3 linked regions of the Arabidopsis thaliana genome follow. The protein of the gene in region 1 interacts with the protein of each later gene in a pairwise test. Each region holds a gene or a part of one and is shown on either strand. Other genes may lie near its edges.

Evidence for each region. The genes of interacting proteins can lie anywhere in the genome.
Region 2: the proteins of GLR2.9 (region 1) and CAT6 interact in a protein complementation assay, tested with the Arabidopsis thaliana proteins (one large-scale study listed by BioGRID).
Region 3: the proteins of GLR2.9 (region 1) and GDU4 interact in a protein complementation assay, tested with the Arabidopsis thaliana proteins (one large-scale study listed by BioGRID).

Annotation. Positions count from the first base shown.
Region 1 is NC_003071.7:12,500,143-12,509,137, forward strand, and holds GLR2.9 (glutamate receptor 2.9), read right to left. Parts: upstream 4,803-8,995; 5' UTR 4,777-4,802; coding exon 4,515-4,776; intron 3,890-4,514; coding exon 2,604-3,889; intron 2,473-2,603; coding exon 2,160-2,472; intron 2,004-2,159; coding exon 1,600-2,003; intron 1,514-1,599; coding exon 950-1,513; downstream 1-949. Other genes in the region: GLR2.8 (glutamate receptor 2.8), read right to left, coding at 6,738-7,298, 7,403-7,797, 7,977-8,289, 8,445-8,995. UniProt on the Arabidopsis thaliana protein: Glutamate-gated receptor that probably acts as a non-selective cation channel. May be involved in light-signal transduction and calcium homeostasis via the regulation of calcium influx into cells.
Region 2 is NC_003076.8:1,375,594-1,384,726, reverse strand, and holds CAT6 (cationic amino acid transporter 6), read right to left. Parts: upstream 6,107-9,133; 5' UTR 5,610-6,106; coding exon 5,207-5,609; exon of another isoform or gene 5,091-5,206; coding exon 4,522-5,090; intron 4,410-4,521; coding exon 4,178-4,409; intron 3,457-4,177; coding exon of another isoform or gene 3,425-3,456; exon of another isoform or gene 2,971-3,424; coding exon 2,423-2,970; 3' UTR 2,249-2,422; downstream 1-2,248. Other genes in the region: AT5G04780 (Pentatricopeptide repeat (PPR) superfamily protein), read right to left, coding at 1-187. UniProt on the Arabidopsis thaliana protein: Permease involved in the transport of the cationic neutral or acidic amino acids.
Region 3 is NC_003071.7:10,556,134-10,562,487, reverse strand, and holds GDU4 (glutamine dumper 4), read right to left. Parts: upstream 3,316-6,354; 5' UTR 3,010-3,315; coding exon 2,539-3,009; 3' UTR 2,249-2,538; downstream 1-2,248. UniProt on the Arabidopsis thaliana protein: Probable subunit of an amino acid transporter involved in the regulation of the amino acid metabolism. Stimulates amino acid export by activating nonselective amino acid facilitators.

The DNA.
Region 1 (8,995 bases):
CAATGACGATAGAAGATAATACAAAAAATCTTTGCAATAGAAAACAATTGATAACATGATGATTAAGAAAACGATTAAATAATTAATAGTTTCTATAACGAATGGATTAAAAAGAATATTTGACGATCTTTTACCTTTATAAAATGCAAGGTTTTAAATAAAATTTACTCTGGTCACCAAAAACCTTATTTTCTAAACTATTTTTGAAAACTTCATCATATCTTGGACCTTGGTAAATTAAATACTTTAAACTAACGTTATCTTTAGTCAATGAATCACTTAAAATTGACGTATATGGTCGTTCGTTGTGGTGAAAGGGCTGCGTAGTGGATAAGTTGGAGAAGGATCTTTAAAATATAAATCAAATGACATTTGAAGATTAAAATAAAAATAACTTAGTCCGTGACATCCCTAGAAATCCACGTACGCATATACGAACCTCAGATCACTGCAAAATGCAGTAGCCGCTTCGCTGGAACTCCTCAGTTATTCACACTTCAACGTTTCCTCTTCCTTAAGAAACTTCCCTTCGTTTTTTAAAAGTCTTAATATTATTCGTATAATCATCTATTCATCTTTGGTCGGTGATCGCATAATGATGAAATTTTCTTAAGTTATCGTCGTCAGTCTTTTTTCTTTTTCTGTTTCTTTTTGGGTTTGATATTAAGTCTTATGTATATTGTTATAAGAATATAAATGTTCTTACTTTTATTTGTAGACATCTCTGTTCTGATGTTACTTGCTTCACAAACTTTAATTAATAGAAGTGCGTTTGATGTATCTTCTTTCAAATATTGAGTAGGCAAGCACTGAAAGATGAATTCTATATAAATCTATAATAACAATTTAATAAATAAAATCGTATTAATTTTCATGGAAGAATCTATAATTTTTTTTTGGTAAATAATCATCTATAACTTCTTAATGTAGTTTTGTAAAACATCTATCTCTATTGTTCAACTCGACATTCAATATCAGATTCTCCATCTTCATGATGTATTATCGGTTGCGTAGTGAAGCGTTCTTCGCTCGGGCTAAATGACACTCTTCTTAGCTCAAACTCTCTGTTTTGTGATGGGCTTTGTGGCCATGGTGTGATTTGCACAGTTGAAGGGCTCGGAGTCTTGTGAGTCATAGGTGAACTTATATTATGAATGGCACTGTTCTTGAAAGTATGCGAATTCATGTCTTTCTCATCGAAGATTTTGAACAAGAACTTTAGCTTTCTCCACAAGGAATCCTCGGAATCATCACCTAGAGTGTGCCTATGTTCGTACAAGAAAAGAGCCACGAAGACGAGTAATGAAAAAGATATAGCAGTGCCTGCTATTAGAAATAGACCCAAGAAGCTACTGAGGTTGAGACGGTTGGACGAAAGAGCGGTCATTGGATCAGGACAATCATTCTTTTTCGGGAACCATCTGTCCTCGATTTGTTGCGTTACATTGTTTTGTGTCAGATTCAAGATAGCCCTTGAGAATTCTCCCGTCAAAGGTGAATTCTTCGGGAATGCCTACACATTGATCATGGAAACAAAACATGTGTTATTTGTCCCCTTATTTTGTAAAAATACATAGAAAGGAAACAGAAGGTACTTACAAAGCCAAAACCACCAGTCTTAAATGTAGGTTCAACCATGACATATTTAGAGCAGGATTGAGAAAGGATAGCCTTAAGGTAAGCAACTTCGTCGAAAGCTGCTGCGATACCTTTTGATTTCCCCTTGGACAAAAGGTCGTCGGCATCTTTGGCAGAATCAAAAGGCTTTAGCTGATCTTCATGAAATCCTAGCCCTAATAGAATATCTTTAACGAAAGCACCACCTTGGTACCCTACACAATCCCTATTTTTGATGAGATCGTTTACATTTGTGACCGTCGGTTGCAAACTTTGTACCGTGAGGAAAGAGGTGAGACTCGCTGTGTAGCTCTGAGTGAGAACAAGCACTACAAAACACCAGACAACCACCACAAACCTTGCTAAATTGCTCACTACATTCTCACCTATATACACATGCACAAGTTTTCACTTTATCATTACAATCATAAAATAAGTTGAGATATCTAAAAAATATTGACAATGTAATTATGTTTGGAGATAAAAGCTACAAAACGTAAATATTTATCATTATTAGATTCTTGATTGGTGTAAGAACTTACGGTGGGCAAAAACCATGGTGGAGAAGGAGAACCATAAACTAGTGCCGATCTGGTACTGAGGCGGTCCACGGAAGTCGGTGTTGACTCTGTGTTCGAATAGCCACACAACAAAACCAATGAAGACGAAGAAACAACCGGTGGTGACCCATAGCTCTAAGCTCCAAGGTTCGAGGAACACCCATGTGTCCTTATTCTCATTATCTCTCACCGGCACCATCATAGACACTCCTGACTCTGTGAACGGTAACGTGAAGTCAGCGTACAAAGATCTGTTCGCTGTGATGGTTATATCTCCAACAACTGCATCCCATGTCTGCTTCATATATTAGTATAATGTGTTATAAATCTAACATCTAAAAGACATAAAATTAGGGAAATGGTTTACAATATGATTTTGTGAATGTTTAGAATTTTTTGTTTGTAAGTAGAAAAAAAGAAACTAACCTTGTCATATACTTGGTAGACCAAATTGTTGTAGTTATTTGGAGACTCAAAACTGACGTACTCAGGAATGACTAAATATGGCAATTCCTTAAGAGCAGCTTCAAAGATTTCTATGGCATAACCGGTTGGGGTCTTTTTGTTAGTGATCGGATTTATGGTTACCTTAACAAAATCAAAGAAGCCTTTCTTCATTGGAACGCCCACTCTAAGCTTCTTCCCTGGAATCTCCCATCCTTTTGGAACAATTTTTGACTTCCCTGGCCATATCACTGGCCCCAACGTTTTTTTGTTTGAACTTGTTGCATCCATGAGTCCATCTCTTGGTGTCCAAAATCCAATAATCCTCTCTTCATTTCCGACAAAATTTATGATCTCAAACTTTGGTGACTGGAGCTGCCCGTCTATGAGTTTAAACTCTCCTGCCAAACCATTGAATCTTACCTCCGAGAAAGCCTTTTGAAGACTTGGACCATAGAGAGAGACCCCTACGTTCCCCAAATCTGTCCTATTTTTTGACAAGGTGCTCCCATTATCATACCATAAGCTCTTTGTGTTGGCTTTCTCCACAGCCTTAGCCAATGCAGTAATTGAATCATATGCCCATAATGCAAAAACGTTTAGATCATCTCTCATCGATGGATTCTCCTTCTCAAATGTTCTTTTCCATCTCAAACGGAAATCTCCGAGCTCTTTCGATTTGGGGACATGGCTCCTCACACCTAACACGCCCTCTATAGTATTTAAGCTACGACCATTGTTTATATGTCTCATCATATGCGTCATTCCATTGGTCATTAACCATACATACCCTTCCTCCATCATCCCGATATCCCTAGCTATCTGAAAAACCCGTAAAGCGAGACTTGATTCCATGTGGACAACAAATACTCTCGCTTGCCTCTCCATGAGCTTACGAAGTTCTTTCTGAATCTCATCATCGATAGCCTCCGGAGGGATCACACTTCTCTTGACTTCCACGTCTTGTAAAGCGTCAAACAAGAAAGGCATGAATCCTTCACCAAACTCGTTGTCCACATAAATTGCGACGACCCTTCTCCACCTAAAGAATTTGAAAATGGACGCAATGGCCCTGACCTGGGATGAGTCGTCGATAGTGGCTCTGACGAAGTAAGGGCTTTTGATGGATGTCAAAAGAGGGCTTGTTGCAGAGAATGTGATGGTCGGTACTTGAGTTTTGTTGGCCAGTTTGATCATAAAATCTGCTTGCATAGAGTTTATTGGTCCGATGATGGCGCTCACTTGCTCGGTTTTGATTAGGTCCAAGGCTGCTTGCACCACAAGCAACATAAAGAAAAGAAGAAAGGTTAAATATCCTCTGTTTTTGGATATAATATCTTCCATTTTCAATGGAAGAGTTACAACTTATAAGGCTAAGCCATGTTTGTCGAGTCCAAAAGAGCTCTAGTTGCAAAGTAATAAGACAATATTAATTTACATAAATAGTTAAAATTGTAGAGGTATCATAAGACATGTCACCAATAGTTTTCGACTATTCATCTAATATATTAAGACTCATGAGTTAAATATAATTAACGAGACTAATAGTAATCAGGATTTCTGCGACCATACAACCGTCACCATGAATTTCTAGAAGAGAAAAAAATTGGACTTCTCTATCAAGAGATTGCTCTTACCATAGACATTAGACCACATAAGAATACACTTGGTTTTTGAAGTATAGTCTAAAAGATAAATCGTCACCAAGACTCTTAGCATATACCCCCATATGATACTTTGATTTTTAATACTGATCTAAAATATTGGTCACATTCAATAAAATAGTAATTAGCTAAACCATGTCTATACGTAATATGTTTCATTCAACCGCAACTAATAAGTAATAAATCAAAATGACGGGAAGCTGAAGCAAGACATAGAGAAGTAACGAACCTGCAGCTGAAGCCTGAACAGTATCTTCCATGGAATCTCTAACGTGAAGCGTAAGTCTTGTGAGGTAATTTGGATGATCCGCGTAGAAATCGGACACGGCCATCTTTATAGAAGTGAGGCAGATCTTGGAAAATGTTGTATTGAGATCAAGAACTACTCCTACTTTGATTTCACTTGTTTGGTTTTGTCCTAAACCAACCCCCATCAACAAAAAACCGCAAACAAAGTAACTCAAAAAGGTGTTATTAGTTTTCATCATCATAATCGCCCCAAAACTGAGGAGACTTTATGTGATTCTTTAACTTACTTTTTTCCTGTTATATATATACAGTGGAAGGATCGGTTTGAAAGATACTTATAATCAATGAAAGACTTTGAAATACTATGCCAAAAATTGGTTTCTCAACGAAAGAGACATATCGATTTTTTTTTAAAAAAAAGTGTGTTGACTAGAAATTAATAAAACTGGTTTGAAAGAGTCAAATGAGGCTTTTGCAGATGAATTCTCTTTGAAAAGCAAACTACAAAATACCCATAACTTATTAAATAACCAAATCGTCTATTTTATAAAATATAAGGATCGCAATTCTTTCTTTTTTTTACTTTTAGTATTGTAATTGACATATTATAATATCATAATTGAAATAATTAAGAGTTAATTGTGCAAAATAAGATTCTTAACCCTTTTTGAGATCTATTTTTGAGGATAGCCTTTCTGAAGAAAAAAACTAATGTTTTATACATCCATCCCATGCTAATGCACGAGATAAATACTATTGTAAGCTTTTCTTATATAAAAAGAATATATACATTTTATCCAGATTTAATGGTAAATTTAAATATTATAATTTTTTAATAATTGTTTTGGCCAACTTTAAGAATTTTCAAATGTGTTTTGCAATAGGAATTACAATAATCGAAATAGGTTAGAGGTAATATTTGGAAATATATGTGTTTTAAAGAGAATAAGAATAAGCAAAAATGTGTTTGGGAAATGTAATAGGATTAAATTAAAAAAAATGGTTGAGAATAATTATATGCTTGCACACAAAAACACTAAAAATAGCTTATATATGTAGATATGTCCATACAATTAACGCAAAAAAATGCAATGAACCGTTTTTAAAGAATTCTTAGAAATAAAATGTATCAAAAATTGTCGTACTACTATAAAATAAATAAATGTTTTATAGAAGAGTGTATCTTGTAGATATGTGTACTTTGGTGGAATTAGCATACAGAAATTAAAAAATATAGGGTAAGTGAAGTGAGTTTCCCTCCAAGATTTTTAATTTTATTTTTTACGAGCAGTCGGAAATTAACGGAATTTTCTTAGTTTGGATTTATTCAGATTTAGTTTGTTCAACTATGCCATACACAATATGATTGTCCGTTGTAGAACAACATTCTCTTACGCATGTTCGAGAATAGGTCAAGAAGACGTATAATATGGGCAAATCGAAAACAAATATTCGTCAACATTATTTTTTCCAAAACAATGAAAATACATTAATCCTAAATTACAGTACATGATTTTGGATATAACTGAAGAATCTACATTTACGTGGGTGATGACGACATAAACAATTTTTTATGGTTGATATACAATAGTCTAATTTCTTAAAATTCTGTTGTGTTGAAGAATTGATTAAATTGAAATGCATTTGGTCCGATTTAAGTCATTAAAGGGTAACTGGAGGACGTTGAGTTGTTTAGCTTGGGTTATAAAGCTAAAAAAGTCTCCAATTCGAAGAGAGGGTTTCGCTAAAGGACAACCACTTCGTGAAAGGCAGTGATTGCTTTTACATAACTATGTGTACCTTTATCTTTCTTCCTCTGTTACGCTTCTTCTTGCTTGAGATTGTGATATTGTAGAGCTATGAGCATTTGCAAATAATGATATAGTAAATTATTGGATCTTTTGGCCGAGATGTAAGAATCACGCATGGTGGATGGATCATGAATGACCAGAGCCCTCTTTCACGACCCTGGTTGGGAATGGATGCGAATAGTTATCCTCGTTTATTTGGAACTAGGAACTTTCCTTAAAGTCACTTGCCACTATGTACATATGAAGTTTTTAGAGTTGCTATATTTTTGCAATGCAATCCTATTAATATAAACTTTGTTATAAATAAAAGAATAATAGCTTTGTTAGGAATATATGCAGCGAACTTAGCTTATCCTATCTATAACTTGTTATGGAATCTTCTAAACTTATCTCTATTGTTCAACAACACATTCAATATCAGATTCTTCATCTTCAAAATGTATAGTTTGCGTAGTTAACCGTTCTTCATTCGGGGTAAATGACACTCTTCTTAGTTCAAACGCCCTGTCTTGTGATGGGCTATGTGGCCGTGGTGCGATTTGCAAAGTTGAAGGGCTCGGAATGTACTGAGTCATAGGTGAACTCACATGATGAACAGCGCTGCTCTTGAAAGTATGCGACTTTATGTCTTTCTCATCGAAGTTTCTGAATAAAGACGTTAGCTTACGCCATATCGAATCTTCGGAATCATCACATAGTGTATGCCTATTTTCGTACAAGAAAAGAAACACGAAGATGAGTAGTGCCAAGAATGAAGCAATGCCTGCTATTAGAAACAGACCCCAAAAGCTACGAAGGCTTAGACGGTTCGACGAAAGAGCGGTCTTTGGATCAGGACAATCATTTTGTTTCATGAACCATTTGTTCTCGATGTGTTGCATTTCATCTCCTTGAGTCACATTTAAGATAGCCTTTGAGACATCTCCTGTCAAAGGTGAATTCCTGGGGAATGCCTACACATTGATCAAGGAAACAAGCAATGAATACTCGAACTGTCTTTTTTTTTTTTTCCTAGTTTGAAATTTTCATATATAAGGGAAAAAAAAAAGAAACTTACAAAGCCAAAACCAGCAGTCTTAAATGTAGGCTCAACAATGGCATATTTGGAGCAGTATTGAGAAAGGATAGCCCTAAGGTAAGCAACTTCGTCGAAAGCTGCTGATATACTACCATTGGACAAAAGCGCGTGACATTCTTCGGAAGACCCAAAAGGCTTGAGCTTAGAAACATTAAATCCCTCTTTTATTAGAAAATCTTTAACAAAAGCCCCGTGTTGATAGCCTACATAGTCCCCATTTTTTATGAGATCTTTCACATTTATGGCCGCTGGTTGAAAACGTTGCACCGTCAAGAAAGAGGTGAGATTTGCTGTGTAGCTCTGAGTGAGCACAAGCACCACAAAGCACCATACAACCACCACAAACCTTGCTAAGTTGCTCACTACCTTCTCACCTATATGCACACACACAAATTACTTCATCATTAGGATCTTGATTCTTGTTAATAAAAAAATTATCACATTGAAAATAAGTTGACATTTAATATATAAACAATGTAACAATAGTCTCATTTTACATAATATAGTTTTCAAAAGAAAGTTAACATTTATCATTATTGGTGTAAGAACTTACGGTGGGCAAAAACCATGGTGGAGAAAGAGAACCAAAAACTAGTGCCGATCTGGTGGTGAGGCGGTCCACGGAAGTCGGTGTTGACTCTATGTTCGAACAACCACACAACAAAACCAATGAGGACGAAGAAACAAGCAGTGGTGACCCATAAGTCTAAGCCCCAAGGTTTGAGGAACACCCATGTGTTCTTATTCTCGTTGTCTCTCACCGGCACCATCATAGACACTCCTGACTCTGTGTATGGTAAGGTAAAGTCAGCATACAAAGATCTGTACGCTGTGATGGTTACATCTCCAACAACTGCATCCAAAGTCTGTTTCATTTTTAATAATTTGTTAGAGATCTAATATATTATAAAAAGACATAATCTATTATATCTAAGACTAGTTCAGTCTACTCATTGCTAACTGCTTTTACATAGAATTGCTTGCACTTTTAGATTTTATTTAAGAAAAACAAGAAACTAACCCCGTTATCGACTTTATAGACCAAGTCATCGTAGTCATCATCCGGAGACTCGAAACGGTAGTATTGTGGAATGACTGAATATGGTAACTTCTTAAGAGCAGCTTCAAAGATGTCTATGGCGTAACCCTTTGGAGTTGTTATGTTAGTGATAGGATCCGTGATTACCTCCACAAAGTTGAAGAAGCCTTTCTTTACTGGAACACCCACTTTAATCTTCTTACCATTAGTTGGAATCTCCCATCCTTTAGGAACAATAGTAGACTTCCCTGGCCATATCAATGGCCCAAACCTCTCCCCTGTAAATGACGTTGTTTTGTTTGAATTTACATTCACAAGTCCATTGCTCGGTGTCCAAAATCCGACAATTCTCTCTTCATTTCCGACAAAATTTATGATCTCAAACTTTGGTGACTCGAGCTGCCTGTCTATGAGATTAAACCTTCCTGCCAGACCATTGAATCTTATTTCCGAGAGAGCCTCTAGAAGACTTGGACCATAGCGAGAGACGTGTAGCGTCCCCAAATCTGTCATGTTATTTGACGAGCCACTCG
Region 2 (9,133 bases), on another chromosome or scaffold:
AGTTACGATTCGAAAACTCATTGCTATATCGTCCCGGTGATACTTCCTCCTGATCATAACTGGCGAGTACGGAGATGTTTCGGGAGAGAGAACTCGTATTGCTTCTTCTGGGTAAGACTTTGCATCGGATCAAGAAGTTCACCGTGAAACCAAGAATGTTCATCCTTGGCAGCGAAGGAGACAACATACTTAGTTTGGGCCAAAGGCCTAAATGCCTAAAGTGTACTATCACATTCGAATATTGATGGGCTTTTTCTCAAGTCTGCTCTTTTTTTTTGTTATACAACTTATTTGGAAATTTGGCGGGAATGGTTAATGCCATATTAACAGATGATTATATATTTTTAACTTGTTTTTTTCTATCTTATATTTGTTAAATTGTAAAGTCATAAATGTTGTTTGTTCAAAATATAATAATCTATTACAATTGGTGAAAGAAAGCAGATAAATAAGATTTGCGATTCCGTATTTGTATGATTAAGAATGTTGAAATATGAGTAAGACCAACTTGACGACAAGATTTTAACATCATGGAATAGAATGTCTAAGTTTAACTTTTTATTTAACTTTATTTGGATAATTAAAATGTGGAGGGTGTTGCAAGTTGCCAAAAACTTCGCTGTTTGGTGAGAATCAAAGTCTTATCCTTCTTCCTATCTTTCCTCTTATGATTTCTTTTTTGGAAAACACTATTTTATACATAAAGATCTTTTTTTCTTTAAGCGAATGTCAAAGCTCATGAGAAGTCGGAAAAAAATTTCGTGATAAAAATGTCAACAAAAAAGTGAAATAATTGATTAGACCTATATAGCTATGGATTAATGGGCTCACTCTATCTTCTACACAACTTGCCTTAGATTTTGCTTTGAATGGTTTATAAGAGGTTGACATTTTCGTGGTCCCGTGTTCTATATAATTTATTTAATCAAGGATTAAGCTCTAGTTTTCTTCATTTACTCTAGTGCATTTCAGAAATTGATAGCCGATAATTATAATGCAATAATAATGATCCTAAATCCAAGATATTTTGTTAGTTTAGACAGGTTGTACCAAAAAAAAAAAAAAATGAAGAAAATAGGTTCTTTCATGGCCGTTGTTAAACAAAATACATGTTGTCTTTTTGTAAACCTCAAAAGTCAAAATTTTGGTAGTTAATCCAATGTAGAATCCAATATTAAGGTTTGTAATTAGGATAAAGGAAAGTTTTAAAAAGAAGCACTGATCACGCTTAGAGTTGAACCCTTTTACAGAGGGAACTCATTACTTTGAGTAAAGTGGGGTTTCTAGAAAGACATCAAATCTTTGTATTGCCAATAGAATCACATCTTCTTATTGGCAGAATATTTCTTATAAACAAATCCATAAATAATGTAAAAATAAAGCTTCCAACAATGTGACGATCTTGAAAATATTGGGCTTTTCTTTGGACCCCATCCTTACGAATATAGTTACCAAAAAGAGAGAGAATACAAGCAAGTGTCGTCTCCCACTTAAACACAGTTCATTTAGATTCGAGATTTATATCATCCACTTCAAAATATATAAAAATGTAATTATGTATGTTATCCTAACTAAATTACTCACATAATTATTGCCTATTGGTAGTGTTCACTAAAAGAATAATTGGACTGATTATACTAATTGAGATCACATATTCGATCCTACCTTAGACATTCATCTTTATGAAATCAATAAGATAAACTAAATCATACTTGATAAGAAATAAAAGTAGAAAAATGAAGACATCTTTAATAAACTGAAACTTTTTGTGCATGGTTCTTTGTTTACGAAAGTTCAATAGTACTATTGATATATAGAATATATAAATGCAAATAATAAAAGAATGTATAAATATCCTCAAGGAATTTGAAACAAGTGATTGTGAACAAAAAAATGAAAAAGAAAAGGTGATCTTGTTGGATATATATGAAGTTGCGGATAATGTCACGTATGTGTGTCCCGTGAGAAAGATGGGGACCCATCGTTTTCAATTGTACGCCATCTCGTATTTATGAGAGACCTATGTCTATCTAACGTTTCCATTTATTAATGTTATCTATCACATGTATATTTCATACGTGATCTTGCCTTATAGGTTTGACAAAGATTTGATCTTTCAATCTCAAAAACTTGTAACCTAATAGTTTGTACTGTATTTAAAAATATTGTGTGTTGTGAATTGTACACAACGGTAAAACAAAAATATCATCAGTTTCTCTATTCTCTCAACAGATTGACTTGCATATGACCGATTTCATTTTGGTCGTTCGTTAAACCAAAATACATATTCTTTTTTTTCCTAAAGTTGTATTTAATATTTTCTCATTAATATTTCAAACCCCCTCATGTAGAAAAAAAATTAGAGAGTTTAATTACATTTTGGTTCATGATGCTTTAGAAAACTAAACTAAATAAATACTTTTCACACTTCAATTAGCTCTTTCATGACTTGTCCATCTTTCACACCAAAAGATCCATTCGCTTCAGCATCAGAACTCGCATGAACGCCATAAAACAAATACACGAGCACGATCAAACCGGAGAAGAATCCAAACCGGACGTAAGAGGGTGCGTCCAACGAACCAAGCAAAAAAATGTTCAAGAATATCGACACGCACGGGGTCCACGGCATGAACGGGACTCCCCACAACTCAGGTTTCCTAGCCTGGGGAACCACGCACTGAAAGCTCAGCACGATGGCTATAGCCACCACCGCACTGGCACCGAGCATGAAAGCTTTAGGCTTACCTTCCGGCACAAGTTTCCAGATGAGGGTGAAGACGAGAGAGGTTATGGAGAATAGTGTGAGGAAGCAGAGTGTGGGCCACGGCTTGGTGGGTCCAACCGGGACGTAACGTCTGAAGATGAGAGCGTTTGCGACCATGTAGAAGACAAATAGTGTTCCAATGGATACGAGGTTTAGGAGGACGTTTAGGTCGGTGAAAAGCGCAAGAGCCGCCGTGAAAATGCCTGATAAGGGATAAAATATACGAACGTTAATAAGATTGGTCAATGGTCATATTCTCTATAACTGTAGATGATTCGACTAGTGAAAAAAGTCCAAATTTGAAATGAATGGTAGTGGGAGGATTTGTTCCTTTATTTTGTCTTTTTGTCAATGCTATTGATGGATATAGCAAATGTGAGTTAGTGGGTGCTAAAATTAGCAAGGATAAGGTTGAACGATGATGACCCCCTTTATAATGATCCATTTTGTGACAAAGGCATGAGAGTAACTTAATGAGGAAAACAATGCTTGTTACAAAGATTATGCATATAAATATGGCTCTAAACGTTAGTATATGTTTTCCAATCTTCTATGTATTTTATCAAAGATGGTCATTATTCTAAATCCTGGTACCTAACAACTCACGAGTTGCATAGCTCAGCCAGATGTTCCGGAAATTACGAAAAGTTGGAGTTGTCAAAATATCAGCCGACTAGGCTTAGTAGTATCTTCACAAAAAAAATGAAATAAAAAAATGATTGATTAACTACTAGTCGTCCAATGGATGACTAATAATCCAACTATCGTATTTTTATTTAAAAAAAAGTGGAATATGTATTTTTAACACTAAGGAGACACAAAAAGAACCAAAGAGACCCACCAAATCCATCACAATCAAGACCGTTGAAAAGATTGAATCTTTGAACAATCAAAAAACACGAAACTTTTCACAGAGCAGAAAAGAAAACCAGTGGTGAACAACGACATCTAGCAATCGGACTCAGATGCTCTCTCTGTGACTCTTGTCTTAAACACCATACAATGATACAAATCACATTGAACCATGTCCCTACATTGAGATATACTTACACAACGTACATAGCCCTTGTCACGATCGAAATCGATAGCAGAAGATTTTTAAAATGGTAACGTCCAAAAGCTTTTGATCTTTAAAATATATTGAAATGGACACGTATATATAATGAAATCACGTGGATCGTATGATTTAGAGAAAACGTTAAAAGTTCAAATCAATAAAAAGATCATGGAAACAACCGAAACGGTTCTCATTGGGGTCCCCTTTTAACCTAACTACTACTCCTCTATCTCACTTTCTGGACCAAAATTTATTTTTAACTATATATGATTTGATTATATTTCATCATTGTTTGTTTGACAGTAATTAAATAAATGTTTTTTTGATGAATGAATGAAGACAAAGAAACGTACCAAGAAAAGTGGAGGCGTTGACTGGCGTAGATGTTTTGGGATGAATCTTAGCGAACCAAAAGGGGACCACTCTGGACCGTCCGATGACACACATGTAGCGAGCCTGACCTAACATTGCCACCAAAAGTGATGTTAATATCCCAAAGCTTGCTCCTATCCCCACCACTTTCGTCACCCATTCCCAGCCGTTCGATCCTCTGAACGCCGCGGAAAACGGCGCCTCCGGATCTATCTGCGTTACAACAACACATGCCCCGCCGTTTTCAGCTTTAGACTCAGACTACGTGCCGTCTTTATGAAAACGGAAATATACAATAAGAAAATAATAAATTTGAAGTACGGACCAGATCGTATGGCAGAAGCATTGACATAGAGACTGCCATGAGACAGTAAAGAACGGTGACGATTGCGACGGAGCCGGAAACACCGACGGGGATATCTTTGACCGGATTTTCAACTTCTTCCGCCATGGTTGAAACGGCGTCGTATCCTATGTAGCTTAAGTAAACCATGGCAGCTCCGTTGAAAACTCCCGCCGCGCCGAACGGAAAAAATCCCGAGGGGTGCTCTGGATTCGCCGGTGAGGATAGATTCTTTGAATCTCCTTTTATGAATCCCATCACGATCACGAAGAATATGAATGCGATGTGAAATGCAGTCATTATCATGTTCACTTTGGAACTCTCTCTTGTACTGCAACAGATGATGACTGTGATTACGAGGACGACGAGAACTGCGACTGGATCAATCTCGTTGAATCCTTTCGGTAAACCGGAGACGACGAATCGCCACTTGGAAGTTGAGATCCCGAAAGCTGTTCCTAAATAAGCGGTGAAGCTTCTCGAAACGGCCGCGTTTGACATTACGTAATCCATTACAAGATTTGCTCCGGTGAAAAATGCTGGAAATTCACCTGAACGGAAATGTAACAGAAAAGAAATCAGTTACGGTTTTTGATTTTGAAATTAAAATTTTCAGAAAACCGTGAACAGATCGGAGGAGTAGTGATGATTTTCGCGGGAGACTAACCGAATGTGATACGGATGTAGCTGAAGGCACCGCCGGCGACCGGGAGATGGACGGCGAATTCGGTGTAACAGAAAGCGGAGAGGAGAGCGCAGAGCCCGGCGATGGCGTAAGAGACGACAATTGAAGGACCGGCGTCGAGACGACTAGCACGGCCGGTGGTGACAAAGACACCGGCGCCGACCATTCCCCCGATTCCGAGTCCAATGAGATCGTACCACCGGAGAGTACGGCGCATCTGTTCGCCGGAGACGGCGCGGACGCGACTCATCTCGTCGGAAGAGGTGGAGACGGAAATAGCGCGGCGGGATAAGCGAGAAGGCGTCGCGGAAAGAGAGTTGAGGTAGACGCGGAGACTGGAGAAAGAAGAGTGACCACCATTGTTGCTGCTGCTTTGGACCTCCATTTTCTCACCGGCCAGATTCGGGTCGGGTCGGTTTGTGTGAGAATTTTGTTGAATTTGACAAGAGTTGGTTTTATATTAGAGATTAGGAAAAGTGAAAAAGAGAAGGATAGGGACAAAGATGTAATTATGACGATACTTAAGGGCATTTAAATGTTATAAGTATTGTTATTAACAACAAGATTGTTCCCTAATTCTTATATTCACATTAATCACATAAGCATCATCAGCTCAAAAGCTTACTAAACCCAAGATGCTTTATCTCTTTGGTCCAATTACAGTTACATTTATATATACTAATTATGCTAACGCTTTTATTGATTCATATACAAATCATAAACTAGTTTGGTAGTATATAGTATGTATTCACATCTAGCTAAGCTTGTAAACTATTTTTGTTGACCATAAACCACTAAAATTGGTATTTTATTAAATATCATTAGACTGCTGAGTTGTAACAGAGTGGCATTTCCTATGGTTATCTTATTTTGTTTTGTTTTTTAAAAAATAGGAAAAAAATGAATTACGGTTTTTATTGAAGAATATTCTTTTTTTTTTACTACTTATCATTAATTGTTAATAACACTCTTTATTGTTTAAATTTATAGATTTGTACTCAATTATTTATATTTAAAAAAAATATCTCAACACTATAACACCATATAAACATTCTAATAAGATATGTTTTTAAACAACATTATTAGTATATTTCAAAATGGTCAAAATATTTCGAACCTGAGAAATGAACTTTTTAATCATAAATATGTCATTGGAGAATCATTCCCACATTTTTCCTTGAAATGAGGGTCTAAAATTGATGTTATTATAGACAAAATTTTGTAATTGCGTTCCTTGTAATTGATAGGGAATTAGTACTAATTAATGAAATTAATACCATAATTGTGTCTATGACTATGATCGGTTGTTTGAAACGTAACGACTCTCTGCTTCAAAAGCTCTTCCTTACTTAGTTCCCGAGGTTATGAAACCGTCACGGACGTTAAAAAGAAAAAACTAAACAAACGGCGTTAACTTCCGTATATCATAAGACACGGTAACGACGTTACCTCTAACGGCTATGTGTGGTTTAAGATTCACACGTGTGGCAAAGAAGGTGACACGTGGGATGTTGTTTTGTTTTCAATGGATAAGCACACAGGTTTAAAGCGAAGCGTGACCAGAATTTGAGGAAATGAGTTTTTGTAATTAGTTGGTTCTTTTCGACAATCTTCTCATTTTTTATAGTTGGCAACTTGGCATTACTAGGAAAATATTATCGCATATTTGCAGCTAATTAAGGTCTTCTTCAACTGATTTTGTCTCTGCATTTAAATGTTTTAAAACGAGGACACGAATAGTTTGGTACTTAGAGGAATAAATAACCGCAAATCTTGTGTTGGTACAGTTTGTAACTTAGTAATTTGTTTTAGTGTTAGTGCCGTGTTATTTGATAGTATGTGTGAGTGGTAATATGCATGAGTGAGTTCTTGAAAAAAAAGATGAGTGATCTGTTCTCTGTGATAAGGGCAACGCAACATGTTTGCAGGTTGTATCATGATCCTGATGAGTATTCTCCATAGAGAAATCGGCATTAGACTCGACGCTTTAAGATGAAGAAGAAGCAATGGATTGACTGATTTTATTTTCATGGGTCGAACTCGGAGCCTTTGATGCTGTTCACTGAAATCCAAAATCCAAAATCACCAACACCACCAACTAACCGCATGTGTATATGTAATCCAAAATCAACACTATTTTTACCACACCAAAACTCACTATAAGGTTAATTCGAATAGAACTCATCTAACCATCTATGAAACTTGATTAAAAAGTGTTGTAGAATGATTTGTGTATGTTTATGTAAAAGTTCTATCGCTCCCAATCATACCCGTAACTGGATACACGTTGCAATTGATCTTTTTATTTTTTGGTTGGCCGCGCACTGCATTGAATTAACACTACCTTATCCAAACAAATAGTATTAAATATCTACTTCAATCGAACACTCTTAAGCCTCTCTTTGTTCACAATAATGATAATTAGATTAGTGTCAGCAACGTTGACACATATTCGTATCTACAACACACATACGCATACATTTATATATAAATTAATTTCGACAAGAATAAATTATGACTTGTATGGTCACCAATAAGTCTCACATTTTTGGGTACACAAAAGAGTAATAATGAAATAAATAAAAAAGATAATGTGGAGTGGTTTATACAGTGAGTGGGATGGTCAAATCTGAATTTTAGATAAGATGCAAAATTCAGGTTGCCTCAATCCGACCACGTCTCACACGCCCTGTGCCAGACCTGCCCATCTCTGTTTTCCCTATAGTATTTTTTTCTAATTGAAAAATACAAAAATTCCATTCTCCATATATTTGAAGTTATATAAAATCCGTGGCAAAATATGTGATTTGACTTTTGAGTGCCAATCCGATATGTGAGCCGTTTTGTAAACACAATTTTTGGTTTCAGTAAAAGCAAGATATTAGGATCTGATTTCATATATAAATTTTTGAAGATACCTTATTATATCACCCAAAAAAAAAGCTGTGTATTCAAGAAAGTGTAGTATTTTAAAAATAAATATGTAAAATGTTCATGAGTGAGACTCCCTACTAGTTTAAGATTGTCAAATTCACCTAGTTAAAGTTGGATCACTTATTTATCCATAAATAGATAACTTAAGAGATTGTCAAATTCTATTTAAAGAGTCTATCTAAAAGGCCCATTCTCTTTTTTACATAAACCAAAACCGCTCATTAACTATTTTGATCAGTCCAGTCCAATAGTTTGTGTTTTCCTTGTTTTTGGGCTACTAGCCCATACACATTTCCAAAAAAAAAAAAAAAACTTTTTTTTCCCCCTATTTTACTACATTTTTGTTAATTTAATGTTTGATTCAAAATTTACCTCACCAATTTATCCCCTCTTCTAATTTCCTTTCTATGTATTTTTTTCAATTCAGAAATTTCATACCTTCTTTTTATCATCCAATAATCGCCCCATATTTTTCATACTCACAGTTATTTTTTTTGATTTTTCTGTATTTATTTTCCCATATTTTTGAAGATAATATCAAAACTTGAAACATATGGTAGCAGATAAAAAGCTTAAAATAGCAAGAGCTTAGTAGATTTTATTTGGAAATTGGAAAGCCAGGTGACGATTAAACAAGAGGCCACGTCATGTAGATGCACCAGTCCGATGCCAAAAAGTATCCTCGCAAAACAATTGGCAGAAGACACGTGGCTCAATACTGGTGAAGAGTCGGTCTTGGCGTCTTGGTCGACTTCGTAACGTATCCACTTCATATTTGCAATCCAATTAATTTAGTAAAAAGTGTGTAAACCATTTTTAAAAACAAGTAAAGTAAACTACGTGTGAAGAAAGAAACAAGTACGGCTAAAAAAATACTAAAAAAATTAGTTGAAGTTGCTTTGTTTTCTTTTGTTGAAGGTCGTTGAGAACATAGTTTAATAAATACAATGAAACTCTTCCGATAAGATAAGACAA
Region 3 (6,354 bases), 1.9 Mb from region 1:
GTGATATAGAGACAGACTTCCACTTCTGTTGTACTTGTTTCCTTGATCGCAATTACTTAACTAAATCTCTTACCTAATTGGGATGCTCTTATTGTTGTTTAAATTTACCTTCAATTTTATGAGAATTCCTTGTTAATTAGTACCCGTGCATTGTTAGTTTATCGAATTATTTGAGCTTTTTTGTCAACACCTTCTTTATACTACATGCTGAGTCTAATTAGAGTATATTCTTACATATGTGAAATAGAGGGTAAGCTCATTTTTTGGGTCGCATGTAGCTGTCCCTGTGTCTCTTCACCGAAAAGGGTAAATGTCTTTTTAGTGTGCGTTGTTTACAATAACATTTGATCGCAAATGTTTTCTTTTTGGGTTAAAAACTAAAATAATTTTTTTTGTTATTCGAATATTTGGAAGTTCAAGCCCAAAGACCCTATATTTTCTAGAGACGGGATCCACACCGAATTAAATTCATCTCCTTTAAAAAAGAAAACTAAAATAATTTAACATGTATAAATTATATAAACATAAAAGTCACTCCTAGCTTGACTAGGTCTGGATCATCCATGTGTGAGGTGAAAAAGTGGTCTTAAAGTACCACTAGACTAATGAAGTCAAAAAGAACAAACCCTAAAAATAAAAACATTGAAGTCCTAATGCTATATCAAAATTGATGTTAATAGGAATTATCAATTATGCTAGAGAAACTTACAACAACTAAAATCGCATATCCATATCAAGTGATGTTTTCACTCGGAAAAATTAACAAAATGTTCTTGTTTGATACAAGTAATTTTGTTTTCGCCATCCTTTATTTTTATTATTATTTTATTTGTACCTTTTGCTTATGCGGCACAAAGTTTGAGACAGTTGGGGAAATGAATGCAATGAAAGAAGAAGTATTGCTTTGGAACTTTCTTGCGGGAGACGCGGCTACTCGGCGCCTCTAAAGACAGCTCAGCAAATGACAAATAAGTCAAAACAGAATCATTGTCTTCGCTTTCATATTAAACTCTGTTTTTGACACGTGTCCCCTTTCTCTTATGCAGCTCTTTCGATTCAGAGAACAAACGTTTTCAATTAATTAGCTACTACTAATGGACAAATATTAGTTATATAATTTTTTCACCTTTGTTGAAATCAGTGGATTATCTAGCCTGTGGATTATAATTTCAGTGGACTAATTAGCGACGAAAATATAAATTTTAACAAACAAATATATTAAAACAGAAAAAAACATTTGTGGTGAATAAAATTAAAATTCTAAATGACATTCCATTTACGATAATTTAAAACGGAAAATAATATTTATATTACTACATATGTATGTGTGTAATTGAACTACGCAAATGAGTTTATTAGGATTTTTAATGATTTTTACAAAAAATTACTTAAGTGATCGTATATTAGTAGCTGGGAAAAAGACCCCAATATAAAAAAATAGAAATAAGTTGTAAAATGTTTTTGATTGAGGATTATACAAACCTTAAGTTTTAGACGTTTGTTTGGAGTGCACTTCACTTCAAAATACTTAATAACGTGAGAACAGAAGAAAATTTGGTCATGTAACAAGACTCTTGTTGATGGGATATTATCAAATTGAAAGTAAAGCAGGCAAATGGGGCAAGTAATCGAATTATCTTTTGATTTATACCATAATATGTGTTTCCAATTTTTGTTTAATGAAAAAAAGAATATGATTCCTTTTCTTGTGACAAGACTAACTCACGCACATATTTTCGAATATTACGAATGTAAGTTCATAGTTAATAGTAATACTATTTCCAGTTTATTCACTCGTTATATAACAAGTATAGTTAAACAAGTATAGTTAAAATTTGACGGTGAACTAGATGGAGTCTCAATTAATTTAAAATATCCAAGTTGATAGCAAATTCAGAACTATCCTATGGTAAATAAAATATATAAATGCAAGGAAAATATGAAAGTAACACAAATACATGGAGGAGACACAATTATAACAATTCATAATTAAAGTAACTAAACGAATCTCCTTACAAAATATAAAATGTGAGAATATATACGTAATACAAAAGGGTTAATGCATTACATTAGTTTCTGAAAATGTATATAAAATTACAGTTTGTGTACGGGATGAATCACGTTTCCATCGAAACATTGCAAGCTTTGAATTTATGATCAATAGTGTTATGATACTTTTTTTTTTTTTTTTGGGCAAACATAGTGTTATGATACTATGATTCATTTTTTTGTAGATCTTAGTGATGACATAAAATTGTAAGAATTTTAAGTACTATTATGTTATTCCGTTTTAGTTTACTCTATTACTGATTGGTATTAAAGCTGTATGAGAAAGGTTACCTATCACACTTTTGAGAATTACAAAAACTAAAAACGAGTTTTCCACCATTGGGGATAGGAAATTACAAGCAAACATTCATTAATCATAACCCAAAATTTTCTCTCAGTAAATTTTACATTTCCCGTGAAAACACGAAGGAAAATTCCCCAACAAAAAAAAAAAGACAAGACTGAGAGAAGAAAAGAAAACAAAAAAGCTCACTGACTCGTTGTTTCTTCATTTTCTTTGGCTTTCTCTCTGTCTCCCATTTTCTCCTCTCCAGCACCAATACCATCCTCCTTGAAAATTACCATTCTACCCTCGTGACCGCACATGCATTTGTTCGCCGCCGGCGTGGCCAGAAACCTCGGCAAGTCATCTCCGGCCATTATGACAAGAACCTTCTCCTCGCACGCCGCGCTAGCCGCCTTCACTCCAGACCGACTCTCTTTTTCCTCGTCGACTCTTTCGCCGGAGTCATCACCGGAGGTTGACAAGCGCCAGTAAGAGCAGGCTAGGATAAGTAAAGCGAAGGCTATGAGGCCTAACATCGCCGCAAGACCACCGAATAGGTACGGCACCGGTGAGTGCCACGGCGATATCGGCGGTCGGTGATTCCCAAATGATTCTACTGATGTGGCATGTCTAGCTACATCTAACGATGTTGGTTTAATGCTCAATGGCCTCATTTTTTTTATGTTTCTTCTGTTTCTCTCAGATTTTTTCTAACTATTTTGTTTTTTTTGTTTTTCTAACTTTATATAAAGGAAAAAGTGAAGAAAGCTGGAAAGATGAATGAAACAATGGGTGTGGTGAGGTGTTATATTTATAGGTAAGAAGTCCCTGGGGAAAAAGAAAGTGAGTCACTCCGAATATTTAATTATTTGAATTAAAGCAGCTTTTTTTTTCATTTGCCGTTTATTACTTTTTAGTTTTGCCGCATATATTTGCATGCAATATTATGTACTCAAACTTACTTTGTTATAGACACATATATATGTTAAGGTGCTTGTTTTTTTAAAGAAAGATAGCGAACATTAATTACACAAATTTAAACTAGACACGATAAATTAAATTTTAGTATCTTTAAGAAACTACACTAAAAAAAACTTGAAAAATGCCTACAAGAACTACCGCAGATTGGTTTAAAATTTTTGCTTAACGGTTGTTGAAAAATATATAAATGGTGATTTTTAAAATCAAAAAAAGGATATCAATCATAATATTTACCAATAAATTTGAAACCATATGAACTTTGACATCAATCAACTACACAAACTACAATAATTGGGTATTAGACTTATAAGTCTTATATCCAATAATATGTCAGTGATAGCATGATATCGAGAAAGTTTTTGGAAAGACAAGGGGTTTCCTCTTGATGACTCTAAGATACTTTAAGCCAAATAGATCAATTTAGATAGATGAATAGTTTGGTTTCTGGAAGTGACAGAGGAATGAGAGTGAGAGATGGATTCCAAGACCCCTTACTCTCAGTTCTAATTTATGGCACGATATCTATCTTCTTGTGAGGACACACTATGATGCCTAATGGGGATTTTATTTTTTTGGGATCCCGCAAATTGGGAATCCAACTTCTCTCTTTCTTTTTGGATGAAGAAATTTTCTATCTCTCAATTTTTCTATATCTAAAAGTATTATAAAGTCTATCACTTAATATTTGTCATGTTATAGGTTTTAAATGGTAACACATTCTCAAAGCGATATAACTTGTACTATTTTGAGAGTTATCATTCGCAAAAATTAACTTTATCAAAAACATTACAAAAAGTTTTACTCTTAACTTTACTGTACAGCTTTCTCGTATAATTCTTTTGTACAACTTTGCACTATTCCAAAAAAAGTTTTGGTTATAGCTAACAGCTAAAATTTTGTACAGTTTTGTGTTACCAATCGGACTTATATAAAATAAAATAATCTCGAGTAGTCCAAACACAATTTTCAACTTAACATATCACCAAACTTTGCTTGAATTCAATAATTCTCCTTTTTTTTTTGCAAAGTAAATTATTTAATGTTTTACAATAATAATGAATATTAAAATCTGCACCATAACACATGGCTTAAAAAAAATCATGACTTAATATCGGTAGAATATTGTTAGTCATTATTGTTTAGAAAAACATATTTAGGGCAATAAAGATTTGGAATTGTTAGTTATAAAAGACTAACAAATTCAAAAATTTATTACCCTAAATATATATTTTGAATTATTTTAATTATTACAAATAAATTGATTTGATATTAAAATATATATGTTTTTGATTAATTGTTATTAATTTAAGAAAGTTAATTTAGTAATTTTACATATTAAAAATATATTTTTAAAAGAAAAATAAAGAAAAAAAATTTCAAAAGTGCAAATAAAAGTCATATGTGGGATTTTTTTTTTTTTTTTTTTCCAATTGTTACTATCACACCAACTACCGTGCACCAGGTGCACTACCTCAATAATCCATAAAGCTGTCATCATATTAAAATGTAGTGATCAGGTGCAAATTTGTGCCCCAAATGTTATAAACTTTTTCTTTTCTTTTTGTTAAAAGAATTAAGTTTATATTTTTTCACAGGTTCCATTTTAAAGGACCATGTCTGTTTTTCAAACTAAATTCTTACAAATATATAAGAAAGCATATTTTGGAATCATCTATGTATTCACATTGCGAACTAAAGAAGAGAAAAACTTAATACTTATTTTCTGTTACCCTTGAAACATAGGCGTTTATACCATTAAAATGGCAGAAAAATTATATCGACTAATGAAATTAAACTAGTTAAATGAAGTCCAGTTAACTAATCGAAGTTACCGAACATAAAGGGTTCTTATTTTTGTCAAAAACATAAAGAGTTCAAACCTTCAAATTTATAGCGTAGTTTTCTCTCGGTCCATTTTTTAGTCAAGAAAACTTTTGATCCAACTACAAAAATTTACTTTTAAAGAAATTATTTATCGAAAACATTAACTCAGTAATAAACAAGTTTATCTTAAGTCTTTGTAAAAAATGCATACAGAATATCTATAGCGTAGTTTACTCTCAGTCTATCTCTAGTCAACAAAACTTTTGATCGATCAGTTCCAAATATTCACTTTTGAACGAATCATTTATCCAAAAACATTAACTCAGTAAATAAACTAGTTTAACTCAAGTCTTTCTAAAAAATGCTTTAAAATGCATATCAGTGTTCGAAGTAGTTTAATATATATGTTGACAAAAGATGAAGAGCAGTTTAATTTTATACAATATATATTTTTAAGAATTTTTACCTTTTCCCGCAAAATCTGTGATGATTATAGAGGCCCACAAAGATATTAGTGCGACATAAGGCACAGTGAAAGAGCACATTTGCTTTGGTGGTAAATGACAATGTTTGCACAATTATAAGAGAGACAGAAATGATTGGGAAAGGACGAGAGGGAATGAGCATTGTGGGGTAAAGTCCCAACAAACCTCTTTGTGCATCTTGTCTTCATTTTCCATTTTCTCGATTGGTGCATTGATGTGATCTAAATGCTTATCTTTCTCCTCTGGTATTCGGTGATTTCGTTTTCGCATCATATGATATGGATAACATTAATAAATATCTTGTGTTGTTTGTATGCTTCGACTGTTTATGCATAATCTTTTGAAGAACATTTTATTTCTATTGAAAGATGCATCATTGCCAAAATTTTACATGGTTTCCATTGTTTGTTTGTGTTAGCGCTTCCATTTACATTTAACTTTATATATACTTTTATATAATCGACAATCTTAAAGCATATTAAACATTTTACAGATTCTCTTTGATACATTTTTGCAGTTAGGTTTGATGTATATGATCCTCCAGTCATTAGGTTAGATGCATTTATAATGGATTTGTATGATGAAATTGTGTTTAGAATTATTGTTTGGGCTTGTTGGTATGTTATGTTTTTAAAGTTAAGATCGGATTTCTAACTTCTGCTTAATTAGTTTTGTTCTTTTATACATTTTGCACCATATTTTGCTTTTTTTTTTCTTCCTGTAAATCTC